Regions from separate parts of the Mus musculus genome. Here all the other regions are reported to be linked to region 3. Evidence: microRNA targets listed by miRTarBase, many of them from high-throughput screens and not tested one by one. Region 3 holds a microRNA gene; each other region holds the end of a gene's coding sequence.

What was found. The annotated mature microRNA mmu-miR-5101 reads UUUGUUUGUUUUGCUGAUGCAG and lies in region 3 at 1,484-1,505, opposite strand. An mRNA with a match to its seed (bases 2 to 7 or 8) in the 3' UTR can be bound and repressed. Matches are read on the target gene's strand: a 7mer-m8 pairs with bases 2 to 8, a 7mer-A1 pairs with bases 2 to 7 and ends in A, and an 8mer does both.
Region 1: miRTarBase lists Gmeb1 as a target of mmu-miR-5101. Seed matches in the 3' UTR shown: 7mer-A1 at 2,547-2,553, 7mer-A1 at 2,541-2,547 and 8mer at 2,537-2,544.
Region 2: the mRNA of Rprd2 is a reported target of mmu-miR-5101. Seed matches in the 3' UTR shown: 7mer-A1 at 2,419-2,425 and 7mer-A1 at 167-173.
Region 4: the mRNA of Cgas is a reported target of mmu-miR-5101. Seed matches in the 3' UTR shown: 7mer-A1 at 1,615-1,621, 7mer-A1 at 1,920-1,926, 7mer-A1 at 1,925-1,931, 7mer-A1 at 2,507-2,513 and 7mer-A1 at 2,537-2,543.

What each region holds. Positions count from the first base shown.
Region 1 is chr4:132,223,111-132,226,213 of GRCm38, forward strand. It overlaps Gmeb1 (glucocorticoid modulatory element binding protein 1), which reads right to left. Exons shown (of 10, transcript NM_020273.2): 10 at 1-3,103. The coding sequence ends at 2,655. Among named protein-coding and RNA genes, the nearest start is that of Ythdf2, 12 kb to the left of the region's middle.
Region 2 is chr3:95,760,990-95,764,092 of GRCm38, forward strand. Rprd2 (regulation of nuclear pre-mRNA domain containing 2) reads right to left here. Exons shown (of 11, transcript NM_001368178.1): 11 at 1-3,103. The coding sequence ends at 2,691. Among named protein-coding and RNA genes, the nearest start is that of Tars2, 7.6 kb to the left of the region's middle.
Region 3 is chr12:75,907,556-75,910,658 of GRCm38, reverse strand. It overlaps Mir5101 (microRNA 5101), which reads right to left and starts at 1,556; the gene lies at 1,474-1,556. It overlaps Syne2 (spectrin repeat containing, nuclear envelope 2), which reads right to left. Exons shown (of 116, transcript NM_001005510.2): 15 at 1,713-1,791; 16 at 1,296-1,483.
Region 4 is chr9:78,430,463-78,433,565 of GRCm38, reverse strand. It overlaps Cgas (cyclic GMP-AMP synthase), which reads left to right. Exons shown (of 5, transcript NM_173386.5): 5 at 299-3,048. The coding sequence ends at 641. Among named protein-coding and RNA genes, the nearest start is that of Cgas, 11 kb to the left of the region's middle.

The DNA.
Region 1 (3,103 bases), not on the chromosome of region 3:
TGAGAGATCTCATCTCTCCAAGTACCACTGCAGCTAGCAATGACAGCAATTGGAAGACCAGGAAAACAGCAAAGCTCATGTAATCTGTTTTAAGTAAACAGGCTCTGTCTCAAGAAGGAAATCTGACTTTGGAAGCATGCTGCTCACACAACCTTTAATGACACAACAGCTGTGAAGAGCAAAAAGGCAGGACCTGAAGGAGCCTGCCTCTATTCTCTAGGGTGCCTCCCGTGTCCTGAATTGGTCTGCCCATCTCTGGAAAAGAGAAATGACCTAAAGGACACAACAGGGATGCGATGTGGCTTTCTAGGTTCAAGTAACAGTTTTGGTCTGAAGACCGAAACTTTTAGAGCAGGCAAGATGGCTCAATGGATGAGGGTGCTTACCACCAAGCCTGGCAACCTGAGTTCAATTCCCAGGACCCACATGGTGGAAGGCGAGAACAGACTCCTGCAGGTTGTTCTCTGATCTTCACATACATACCGTAGCAAGCTCACCATCACACACACACACACACACACACACACACACACACACACAGATAAATAAATGTAATAAAAATTCCTATGTATTAACAAAGTGTAAGGAAGGCAGGAATAAATTCCTTCTTTCACCAAAAGCTTGTCCTAAACAAAAATTTTTTGAGACACTATTTCATATATCCCAGGTTGGTCTTGAACTTGGTATGTATGACCTTGAATTTCTAAGTCTCCCGTCTCTATTTCCCAAGTGTTAGGATCAGATATGTGGCCCCATGCCCAGTTTACTTCTGGCTGGAGACTGAGCCCAGGGTTTCATGAACGCTAGGTGACCACTTTACCAATTCAGTTCTGTCCCCAGCCTAACTAAAGAGTCTGAAAAGAAAAGTCCAGTTTTAAAGCTGAAACAAATCTGAATAGAGTTCAGAAGCCGCACTCTTCAGGGTCTTCAGAGTGATCCCTGAGGGCTTGCTTCCCTGGTGACACATGGCCGTCTAAGAGATGGAAGGTGCAACTTTTGGTTGCTTACAGGGTTTTCAAAACCTGCAGGCAGGAAGACAGATTTAGACAGGCATCCTTCTCTATTTTTTTTTTTTAAACAAAAGCCAAAATTTTACTTTTAATAATAATAATAAATCCTCCAGCTCCTAAGCTGTATGCTTTTTTGACCTATAAAGTCACCTCGAGAGTCTCTATATTTTCCCTAACATAGTAAACAATATAATTAAAGAAACCAGAAACTGCTTACTCTCCCCCAAACGCTGAAGAGAATCAACGACATGGGATCACAGCAGAAAGAGTGACCTAGTAGTACCGAATGTACAAACAGCATTTAGGAAGAAGCCCCACGCCTGGACGTTACTGACACTCCTGTCATACTTCTTACAATGTCAAATACAATGTCCCTTTCCCAGAAAGTGCAGCTCACTCAGGAGCCATCTAGTCCACACCTCAGGAAAGGTGTTACCAGTTGTCCCTGCCAAGCCTAAGCCATTTTATGAGTTCGGTATCTCACAGAAACATCTGTGGTATCAGAAGAGGAGAATGGCAAAGAGAATGAAGGCAGGCAGGCACCTGTCACTGCTGTCTGCCAAAAAGCTACTGAGCATGGGGTCCAGCAGACGGAAGGAAAAGAAAAGGAAGCACCAGGGAAATGACTGCTTTTGGTTCCAAACCCGAAACATGTACACACACACACACACACACACACACACACACATACACACACACACACACACACTTGCATGCTTACGTGCAGGGCTCCACCAAAAATAGCAGCTGGTCTGCACGAGGGACTCTGCCATTCCTGGAGTCAAGAAACGAAAAATGATGGCCTTGGAGCCCCACCTCCATGACAGCCACAGTCCAAGAATTAGAACAATTTATACCACATCACAGTCTGCAAAGGAATGGACTGATAGTCCTGGGCGAGGAGGGTGAGGGCTTTGACAAGGCTGGGGGCAAGGTGAGCTATCCCAAAAGCACAGCTGTGACAATCTTTTGATTGCTTTGTGTCTTTCTATAATCTCTGTCCTCTTCTGAAATTGAAAATGGTACCCAACCCTCAGAGAGCGCAAGGGGCATCAGATGCACCTCTGGAAGACCATTCCTCGGCCCCTCCCTGTCAAAGGGCTCCCCCTATGAGCTGCTGATCACACTACTTTCCACCCTAAGCAGAGCCAACCTCCTGTTCTTTCAGTTTTGCACACCAGCATCTGAGGCCATCATATCCAGGACACAGAGGCAAGCGTGCTTCTGTATCCACAGCAGAGCTGGTCATCTTCTGGAGTCAGATCTGTGTTCCAGGGTCTGGTCAATGCGTCTTTACAAGAGTGAGACCATGCGTGTATACACAGACAGACTATTCTGGAAAGGATTCCTGGATATTTTGACACTTCCCCTAAAAGCAATTACCTTCCTTGGGGAAAGATGGTTCAGACCCTGGGTGCCCTGTTTCTAACTTCTGGAAAGGCAGCTTGTTCTGTCCAGTTGTCAATGAGGAAGTAGGAGGAACCCAACATTTGCAGTTACAACGAGATTTTGTAGTTTGGTTTTTTTTTGTTTGTTTTTGTTTTTTTTTTAAAAAAAGTTCTATGTGGAAATGAGCGGGACAATGATAAAAATAAACATAATTAAAATTCCAAACCAAAACACAGCTCTTGGCCCTGTCCCCAATCAGTCCTCCAAGACCACAATCTCCACATTGTGGACCTGATGCTGGTGTTCTTCCATTTCGGCTACCACTTTCTCCTCAGTCCTCAGCCCTGTCTCCAAGATGACTGCTTTGCCCTCAGTGTCGTCAGCCTCGGAGTCTGGGGCAGGGTCGATTTCAATGATGGTCTGCCCATCCTCAGAGGTGCTTTCAACAGCCTGGATTGCTGACGTCAGGCCGGACTCCATGGCCACCAGCTCCATGGGGCTCACCATGGTGGCCATGTTGCCCAGGGAACTCCCATCCTGCATAGAGGTGGAGCTTAGCAGTGCCAAACTTGAGGAAGGGTGGATGGTCACTGTGTCTGGTGAGTTGCTCTTGGCAGAGGAAACCACCGTGGCATAGCGGAAGAGCTGAGGGCCAGAAGGCAGTGTGTGGACAGTCACAGGACTGGAGCCCTGGCTGAGGGTAG
Region 2 (3,103 bases), not on the chromosome of region 3:
GTCCTTGCTAAGACACACTATGTTGTGCATTCTTTAAAAAATATCTTGTTTATTTATTTTTAAACTTAGGGTGAAATACAAAAGCCAGAGTATGGTACCGAGTTTAAATCACAGACACAGGAAGAATAAAATCCTTGTTTTATCTTTATGAATACCAGAAATGTCTTTTGTTTCACTATATCACATATATACAGATGTCTTCATTTACTGTTGTAGGAAGATTTCCTTAAAATATCTGACAGCTTCATATAACACCCACTTCCACCCTGAAACAAACACACTGAAGATCTTGTGGCAAAAACAAAACAAAACAAAAAATATCCCACAAACCCCAAGCCCTGAAAAGTCCGTCCTTGAACTGTACAACGCACTCCTGTCTTGTGGCGGCCGCTATGCTTTTGAAGACAGTTATCCTGCTTCAACATTTCAGAAACCACTTTCCTGATACTTCCCTGTTTTCTTAGAAAATCAAATAGTCAAGAGAGCCTTTTCAAGTAAACAGTATATTTAAGTTTAAATAAGAGCGGTAGAAAGAATTCACATTCTTTTATTCTAGACTGAAAAATACCCCCACTTAATTTCTGGGAAAAAAAAATCAATTCTGAAAGTCACAATTTCCCCGCCCCCGCCCCCATTCTCTGTTTGATACCTTTTTTTCTTTTTTACTAAACAAATGTCTTAAGACTCAGTATATAACTATATTTCCCTTGCTTTGCTATGTTATACCCAACCCAAAACACGAGGTCATGATATCATGCATTTTTGTGAGGAGACCTATAGGGCAGAAAGGCTTGAGAGGAAAGAACTGGCTCAAAACGGATGTGAATTCTGAGGATTCTTGCTGTACCTCACAGAGATCACAGCTCCCGGGCTCTGCTGGACAGCCTTTCTTCAGGAAAAAAAAAAAGTGGTTTGCTCCAAGACAAAAGGATTGTCTTCAACCACAGGCCACCCTTCCCTCCATTCCCTACCCACCCCACTGAGGAATCCAAAGCCCTCCTTTTCTTTCCTCTGTAGAGTCCTGTGTGAACTTGCTGGAATTCCTTCAAAAGCTCAACACACTGGTGCAGCACACCTAGCTGGAGGTCCTCAGCGTGTGCCCCGGTGCAACACACTACCAGAAAACCTAGTGTGCAGTGTCTGCTTCCCAGATACAAAGACAGAAACATTCCAAGATCCACGATTGTCTTCCCCTTAGGGATTCGATGCAGAAACACAAACAAAGTTTTTAATGCAGGGAAGAAAGCTCTCCCCTCCACAGCAATGACTCAGGCAACTCAAATGAGGGTGAGGGTGAGGGTGAGAGGTGGGTACTGAAAGCACCAAGATGCTATTTGCTGAGGGATAACATGGATTCCTCAGGACGCTGCTTTCTCAGTACCCCCTGCCTCTAAGACACGCCTACGCAGTATCATGTAAGGATACCACCCAATCGCCTCTGAAACAGCAAGAACAGGATGAATACAGGACTGTGATGGGTGAGGGTAGAAAGAAACTATAAAGACACAATATTTTCCTTTCTCTAATAGTTAATGTTTGCTGAAAACCACCAGTTAGGCACCATAGTAAAGTTAAGTGTCTACTTAAATTTTTAAGAAGGCAGGGACAACATTTTACCTACATTCATTATCAATTTAGTCAGAATAACTGAGGGAGAAAAAGTAAGGGAAAGCAGGAGACAAGGGCTTAGAATAGATACGGAGAACCATCAAAATGTTTCCCTTTTCCTTGTTTACAAAAGACAGTTGGTCACTGAGTGGTCTGTCCCTAGCTTTACATATTGTGATCATTTCCCATTTTAACCTTGAAATTATTATATTCAGCTTTTTCTTTCAACAAAGAAACTTTCCTTTCTTTCTGAGATAAAGTTCTACTCTATAGCCCGGGCTGGCCTCAAACGTGCCCTTCTCTTGCCCCTGCCTCCCAGTGCTGGACTTGTGTGTGCTACCACATCTAGCAAGAGAAAACTTTTTACTGCACATAATGAAGTTTGTACTGCCTCAGAGTCACTGCCTGGTAATAGTTCAGACGAGGCTGCTTAAAAAAGGAAAGAGGAAAGCATTCTGTTTCCACATGCTTTTAGAGTAAAGCAAATAAAGTCGACAGGCCCCACACTGCCCATTGTTTCCCCTCTGCAAACACTCTCGGTCCTCTGCAGAGTAGAAAATACAAAGAAGGGAGCCAAGCTGGTTACAGAAGCTGCTTAGCTGGAGAGGGAAGGAGACAGGGCTCCTCCTACTGACCATCAGCAAGGCCAAGACCCAAATAACACCCCAACATTGCACGTTATTACCTGTACTGACCGAAGTTTTATTTCGATGTAAGTAATCTCTCAATAGATGGGATAAATACTGTTATCCTCCCCACTCCCCCAGCCAAATAATGTGGCTTTGGTTATGTTTACTTATGCCTGTGTGTTTTGTTTTTTTAAAGAAAAAATACAAACAAATTGGAAAGGCCCTAAGTGTGGAGAGAGGACTGGATAATAGCAAACTGTTACCATGTATGCTTTCTGAATTTGGAAGGAGGGCCCTTCATTAAAAAAACAAAACAAAACAAAACAAAACAAAAAAAAAAAAACAAAGTGGAAAAAAAAAAACAAGAAAGGAAAACCAAATTTAAACAAAAACCCAAACTGCTACTTCCAATGCTCTCTATAGACTGTTCAAAATGCCTTCCCCAGATTTCCATCAGTACCTGGGAGGGAAGAATGGGCGTTTTGGTGCAAAGAACGGAGGGCCTCTAACAAAAGGTGGCCTGGGTCTCTTTAAACTGTGGAATGGGTCTCTGCCGAGAAAAGCTTCCCTAGGCCGAAAGTCTGGCCGGGGACTCCGTAAAATCATACCACTCCGGCCGATGGCGTCTCTGTGTGCGGGACTCAAGGGAAGGCCACTGCTGCTGGTGTTGCCTCCCCCACCTCCTCCAAGGGCTGGGCCCAGGTGCTCCAGAGGATGGGAAGGCAGGCTCAGGCTCTCTCGTGAACGGTTAAGACCAGGGCCATTGAGGTCCCTGGGTCCTGTGAGCACCCCAAAATGCTCAGCCATGGTCCCTTGAAGGAGGGAACTATGGTCCTTGGGAAAAACTGACACAGCCCCAGTTACTC
Region 3 (3,103 bases):
TTCCTAAGTCATCTAGGGCAAATATGTAATACTGGCACAGTGTCTATGTGATAGATGCTACCAAGTCTCCTGTAAAATTCAAAGTCTCTTTTAAGATCTCTGGAAGCCCAGAGTATCTCAGCAGAGTCACATTCAAGACGGCAACTTTCCCCAGGTTTATGTACATTTTAATATCAGACCCTGAAAGACAGAAGAACTATTGAAAACCAATGGTATGAGCTTATAGGACCAACCCAGGTGACAGGGAGACGAGGGAACTTTCTAAGTCTAAGGTGCTCTCTGTGCACTCCTATACTCCCTGCATTTCTTCCATACCAAGAGCCTACTGTCCACAAAGTAATTCTGCTCCATTCAGAGTGAAAGGCTGTCTTGGTCCACTTTCAACTACAAAAGCGAGTGACAGAAACACATGCTATTTCCTAGCTGGCATACAAAAATAATAGTTGCACTGACATTCCTTCCACACATCTGATATTAAAATATACATAACTCAGAAAATGCCATCTTGAACATACAATCCCGAACCTCTGCCATGATGCCAGAGATCTTGTTAGAGCTTTTTAACTCTGGCGTGGTCTCAGCAGCATTTATCTCCTAGAACCCATGCTGCTACTAAGTTGTGGAACTAGAAACTAGATGACTTAAATTGGGACGTGTTAAATAATTCTTGGCCTAGAGACTAAGGAAAACCATCATGAAGGTGGTATTAGCCTCTATTGATCAAATGAATCTGGGACCCTCTGTAGGAGGGAAATTCAGAAAAGATGTAGGGGAAAAAGGTTTTAACTAAATGGAAAATTGTAATTCTTAAAAACAGTGATTTAGGTAGGCATGGTAGGACATGCCTGTAATCCTATCAGAAAGGAAGTCCCATGAAAACAGGAGAGTCTTGACTCTGAAGCCAGCCTAGATCATATAGCCAAGAACCTGTCTCCAGGTTCTTGATAGAGTGATCCAAAAAAAAAAAAAAGCTGTATTATTATGTAAACGTGTGTGTGTGTGTGTGTGTGTGTGTGTGTGTACAATTCAAAGGAAATACTCTCTGACAATTACATTAGGAAAAAACTAAGTTCTTCCCAAATTCTTGAAGAATTTTCTAGAAGATATGTTTACTCCTTTGTTGACACTCAACTTTTGGACTCAAAATGGGCTTCCAAACAAAAAGAAATAGAAAAGTTCATTCTAGCTGGACATGGTAATGCATGCCTTTAATCCCTAACTTGAATGGTGTATGTATGTAGTCAGTCTCCAAAAATAAAATGTAAAACTGGGATAGAACCATTGACTTCAAATACCTCTTTAATTTGTTCCTTCTTTGTCAAGTCAAAAGAAGCCTTTAGTAGGGCGAGATCTTCCTCGAAAGTTGCCCAAGACATCAGTGCTCTTTGCAGTGTGGCCTTCGTGTTATGGATGTATTGTCTGCACGAGTGAACATTCTTTTCCAGCATCATATACTCCTCTCTAATACTCTCACATTCTCTGGCTGCATCAGCAAAACAAACAAAAACAACAAGTCTTACAAAACGGTTTTTGTTTGTAACTGATACTAAGAAAATTATTTGCATTAACCAACAAGCATGTTGCCTAACAATATTAAAAGCAAAAGAAAGGAAAGCAGGGATGAAAACAGTTAATGTCCAAACCATCAAAGTAAAACAATACTCATCTTGAAATGATAGCTGACCCATTAAAAAGCAACTAGGATACTTTACCCGAGTTCTTATACATTTCTTCACATTTTTGAAAAGAAGCATCAAGTTGAATTAGGAACTTTTTTTCTCCAGTAAATTTCTGTGAAGGAGAGGCAAAAAAATGTTGACAGATTTTACTTTTGAAAATGTGCCAAGAAATCCAGATGTCAGTATGTGATGTCAGTAAAGGGCAAGGTTGCCAGCAATGTTTGAGTATTCAATACCACCACACTGCAGCAGCAGAAATGGAAGGAATGGTTCAGGAAGGGTGGCTAGGACTTAGGAGATGCAAGAGCACAATGACACAGGGCTATCACAGCAGATTCACCTTAACATAGCCATGTGACTTTACACTGCGTCCAGCTGATGGGAAAAAGCAAGTTTATCAGTCATAGCAGATCCAAGCCTTCCAGCTCGTCCGTCTTAGTAACATTGTGTAACTGTGTCAATAGCTTAGGCTTCCCAGGCCTTATTCACACTAATTAGTAAGTCTTCATTAGCTACATTAGGTTACTTTTTCAGAAGCTATCCCCACCTGCACAAAGAAGGCTGTGAAACTATCATTAACTAATTCAGCTGTGGAAAATCCTGGGGCTAACTCAGAGCCGACTCTAAACCGCCTGTTTATTATATTAGCGGTTCTCAACCTGTGGGTTGCATAAGACCATCAGAGAACAGATATTTACATTACAATTCATAACAGTAGCAAAATAACAGTTATGAAGTAGCAACAAATAGTTTTATGATTGGGGGTCACCAAACGTAAGGAACTGTATTAAAGTGTTACACCATTAGGAACGTTAAGAACCACTGATTATATTCTTATTTTGTGCTAGCTAACTACTATGATTACTGAACCAGTGAAATGTAAATCCAAAGCTGGGCATGATGGCACACTCCTGTAATCTAACACTTACAGGAGAATCGGGAGTTCAAGACCAACCTCATTACATATGACCCTATCTCAAAGTACAAATGAACAAACAAAAGCCCAGAAAAAAAAAACAAAACAAAACTTCAGAGAAGACAAAAAGTTATATGTAGTACTGTTCTCCATGTTTTATATATAAATAAAACCTAGCCCAGTTTAGAATGATGCCTCCAATTTGGAAGAGCATAATATTTAAATGATCAATTATAAACAGATATGTATGTCTTCATCATCCTCTTCCATTTCCTTGAAACTTATAATTTTGAGTTTTTCAAGTCTCCCCACCCTCCCTTCCCATAAAGAAGGCGCCCCATGGGGTTTCCATCTGAATTTCTGCATGGACACACCTATGCTTGTAAGGACACGCCTATGCTTTTGGTTTTTGTGACGGGTTTTTCTTTGAAGCATTTAAGCCATTTCCTACTCAAACTTGGGTGAAGGGCAGCCAAGAAGGCACCACAGTGCATAAGGCACTTGCCAC
Region 4 (3,103 bases), not on the chromosome of region 3:
AGAGGCAGAGCAGAGTTAGGAGCCAAAGGCCAGCCCCTGCTACATGATGAGTTTATGGCCAACCTGAGCTAATGAGACCCTGCCTTAAAAAATTGGAAGAAAAGAAGAAAGTATGTTTAAAAAAGAAAAAGAGACAGACAAGGTGGCGCACATCTTTAATTCCAGCACTTGTTCTTGGGAAACAGGGACGGGTGGATCTCTTGTGTCCCAGGAAAGCCAGGGTTACATAGAGAGACCCTGTCTCAAAAGAGACAGTTGTAAGTAAGTAAAAATGAGTATCTTCTTTCTTATTTAACAGAAAAGAATGTTTAAAATTAATGAAATACCTTTTGGAACAGTTGAAAAAAGAGTTTCAAGAGCTGGATGCATTCTGTTCCTACCATGTGAAAACTGCCATCTTTCACATGTGGACCCAGGACCCGCAGGACAGTCAGTGGGACCCCAGGAACCTCAGCTCCTGCTTCGATAAGTTGTTAGCATTCTTTCTTGAGTGCCTCAGGACAGAGAAACTGGATCATTATTTTATTCCAAAGTTCAATCTATTCTCTCAAGAACTAATTGACCGAAAAAGTAAAGAATTTCTATCGAAGAAAATTGAATATGAAAGAAATAATGGGTTTCCAATTTTTGACAAGCTTTGAAACTGTATTTGTGTTATATGTTATAATGTGTGTCTGTGGGGTTTTAGGTCAGATGTCGATTGATGCCAGGCGTCTTCTTCAGTCATACTTCACTTTTGGGGGTGGTGGGAAGAGTGGTGATTTCAAGACATGGTTTCTGTGTAGTCCTGGCTGTCTTGTAACTCCCTCTGTAGACCAGGCTGGTCTTGAACAAAGAGATCTGCCTGCTTCTGCCATTGGAATGCAGGGATTAAAGGCCTATGCCACCATTAGGTGGCACACTTCACTTTTTTGAGCTCAGGGAGGTGTCCGGGCTGATTAGCCAGTGAACTCCTGGGATTCAGCTGCCTCTGCTGCCCCAACTCTGGGATGACAGATGGACATCACCTATTCAGCTTTTACATTGTTGCTAGCGGTCTCAACTCAAGTCCTCACGCTTGCAAAGCAAGTACTATAGTGACTGAGCCATCTTCCCAGCCTGACATTGCCTTCTGAAATCAAATTGGGTTAAAGTGATGTAAGTCACTTGCCTGTAGTTTCAGTACTTGAGAACTTTTCTTTGTTTGGGTTTTACTGCTATGAACAGACACCATGACCAAGGCAACTTTTATAAGGGCCAGCATTTCATTGAGGCTGGTTTATAGGTTCGGAGATTTAGTCTGTTGTCATCATAGCAGGAAGCGTGGCAGCATCCAGGAGGGCAGAGCACTGGAGAAGTAGCTGAGAGTTCTACATCTTCATCCAAAGGAAGCGGGTAGCAGACTGCCACCCACATGGCCAAGAGGAGAGTCTTAAAAGCCCACCTCTATGGCGGTGACACACTTCCTCCAACAGTGTTACACCTACTCCGATAAAGCCACTCGTCCTCGTAGTGCCACACCCTGCGCGGAGCATATTCAAACCACCATGGAAGTGGAGGCAGAAAAATAGTCCAGTGTGGTTCTTAGCTATATTTTTAGTTCAGGCATAGCCTGAGGTACACGAAACCTGCTTAAAACAAAGTTCAATCGTTAACAGCACTTATTGCTCTTCCGGAGGGCCTGGGTTGGTTCCCAGCATCCAGTGGCAGGCACAACTGTAACTCTGGTTCCAGGGAATCTAGTTTGACCACGACACACACACACACACACTGACACTATTTTTTAAGAGCACAAAAAGAAAATGAAATTATAATCTGACCCCATAATATGATAAGTGTGCTAGCACTTCATTATAATCCTGGCACTTGAGAAGCTGAGATGTGACGGTTGCCATGAATGCAAGGCCAGCCTGGGATATAAAATACAATCTTGTTTAAAAAAACAAAACAAAACACCAAGAGCCAAAAGCCGTCCCTAGGAGTCACTGTGAATCCCTATGAGTTTGGCCTGGGTCTGCTCACCTGTCCTGACTCAAAAGGGTACATTTTCTTTTTCTATTTTTCCTCTTTAGGATTGTCAGAATTTACGGAGGATTTTTTTTTGGTATGTTGTGCTTCTTGACGCTCTCATGAAATCTGCCCCCCTCCCCAACTCCTTGACACACACCCCATATGGCTAGTGTGTCTATTAAATGGCTGATGTTCTCTTTGAGTACAAAATAAGAACCCCCAAAATGTGAATAAAATAATTCAAAAAAAAAAAAAAAAAAAAAAAGCTGGGCAGCATGCCTTTAATCCCAGCACTTGGGAGGCAGAGGCAGGAGGATTTCTGAGTTCGAGGCCACCCTGGTCTACAAAGTGAGTTCCAGGACAGCCAGAGCTACACACAGAAACCCTGTCTCGAAAAGAAAAAAAAAAATTCAGATGTTCATAGCACTGACTAAAATGGATATAATTATTTAATACTCAGTTTCTCATAATTCACTCACACATAAAGAGTATAACAAAAATGAAATACTAAAGATAAAAACAAAAACCTTGCCGTATTAGAAAGGGAAAACAAATAAAAACTTTCCCCAGTGAGACTCATTAAGAGCTTAATGAGTATACTCACCTAGTAGAATCCGCAGAAGGTTGTGAGAGATTGTATTGGAAATAGTTGATTTAGAATTTGTTCAAACACAAGAAATGCACTGCCGCCTCCTCTGTCCTAAGGTAGAAGGGAGGATTGTGTACTCCGTCAGCTCTCCCTCAGGTACTTTATCATGTGTGCAGGAGCATGTAATTTATTTTTATCTTTATTCTATACGTGTTTTTACAAAAGCAATGATACAGCGCAGCGAGATGGGTGTGGGACAGAGGATACTCTCGTCTGCATCCAAGCAGCGTTCCCCAGGGGCAGCTGATGCTCATTTCCTCTTTTTGAGTACTTTGTTGCATGGGTTGTTGCAGGAGCCTTTTCCAGTGGTCTGTAGCTGTTCCCTGTGTAACAAATAATGTCTGCCATGTATGTTGTCTTCACTTTTTAAAAGTATCTCTCAATAAATAAGATTTAAATGTTTTAATGTAGTTGAATGTATCAGTCTTAGAGTTTGTGCCTTGTTCTCAACAACTACTGGGTTTA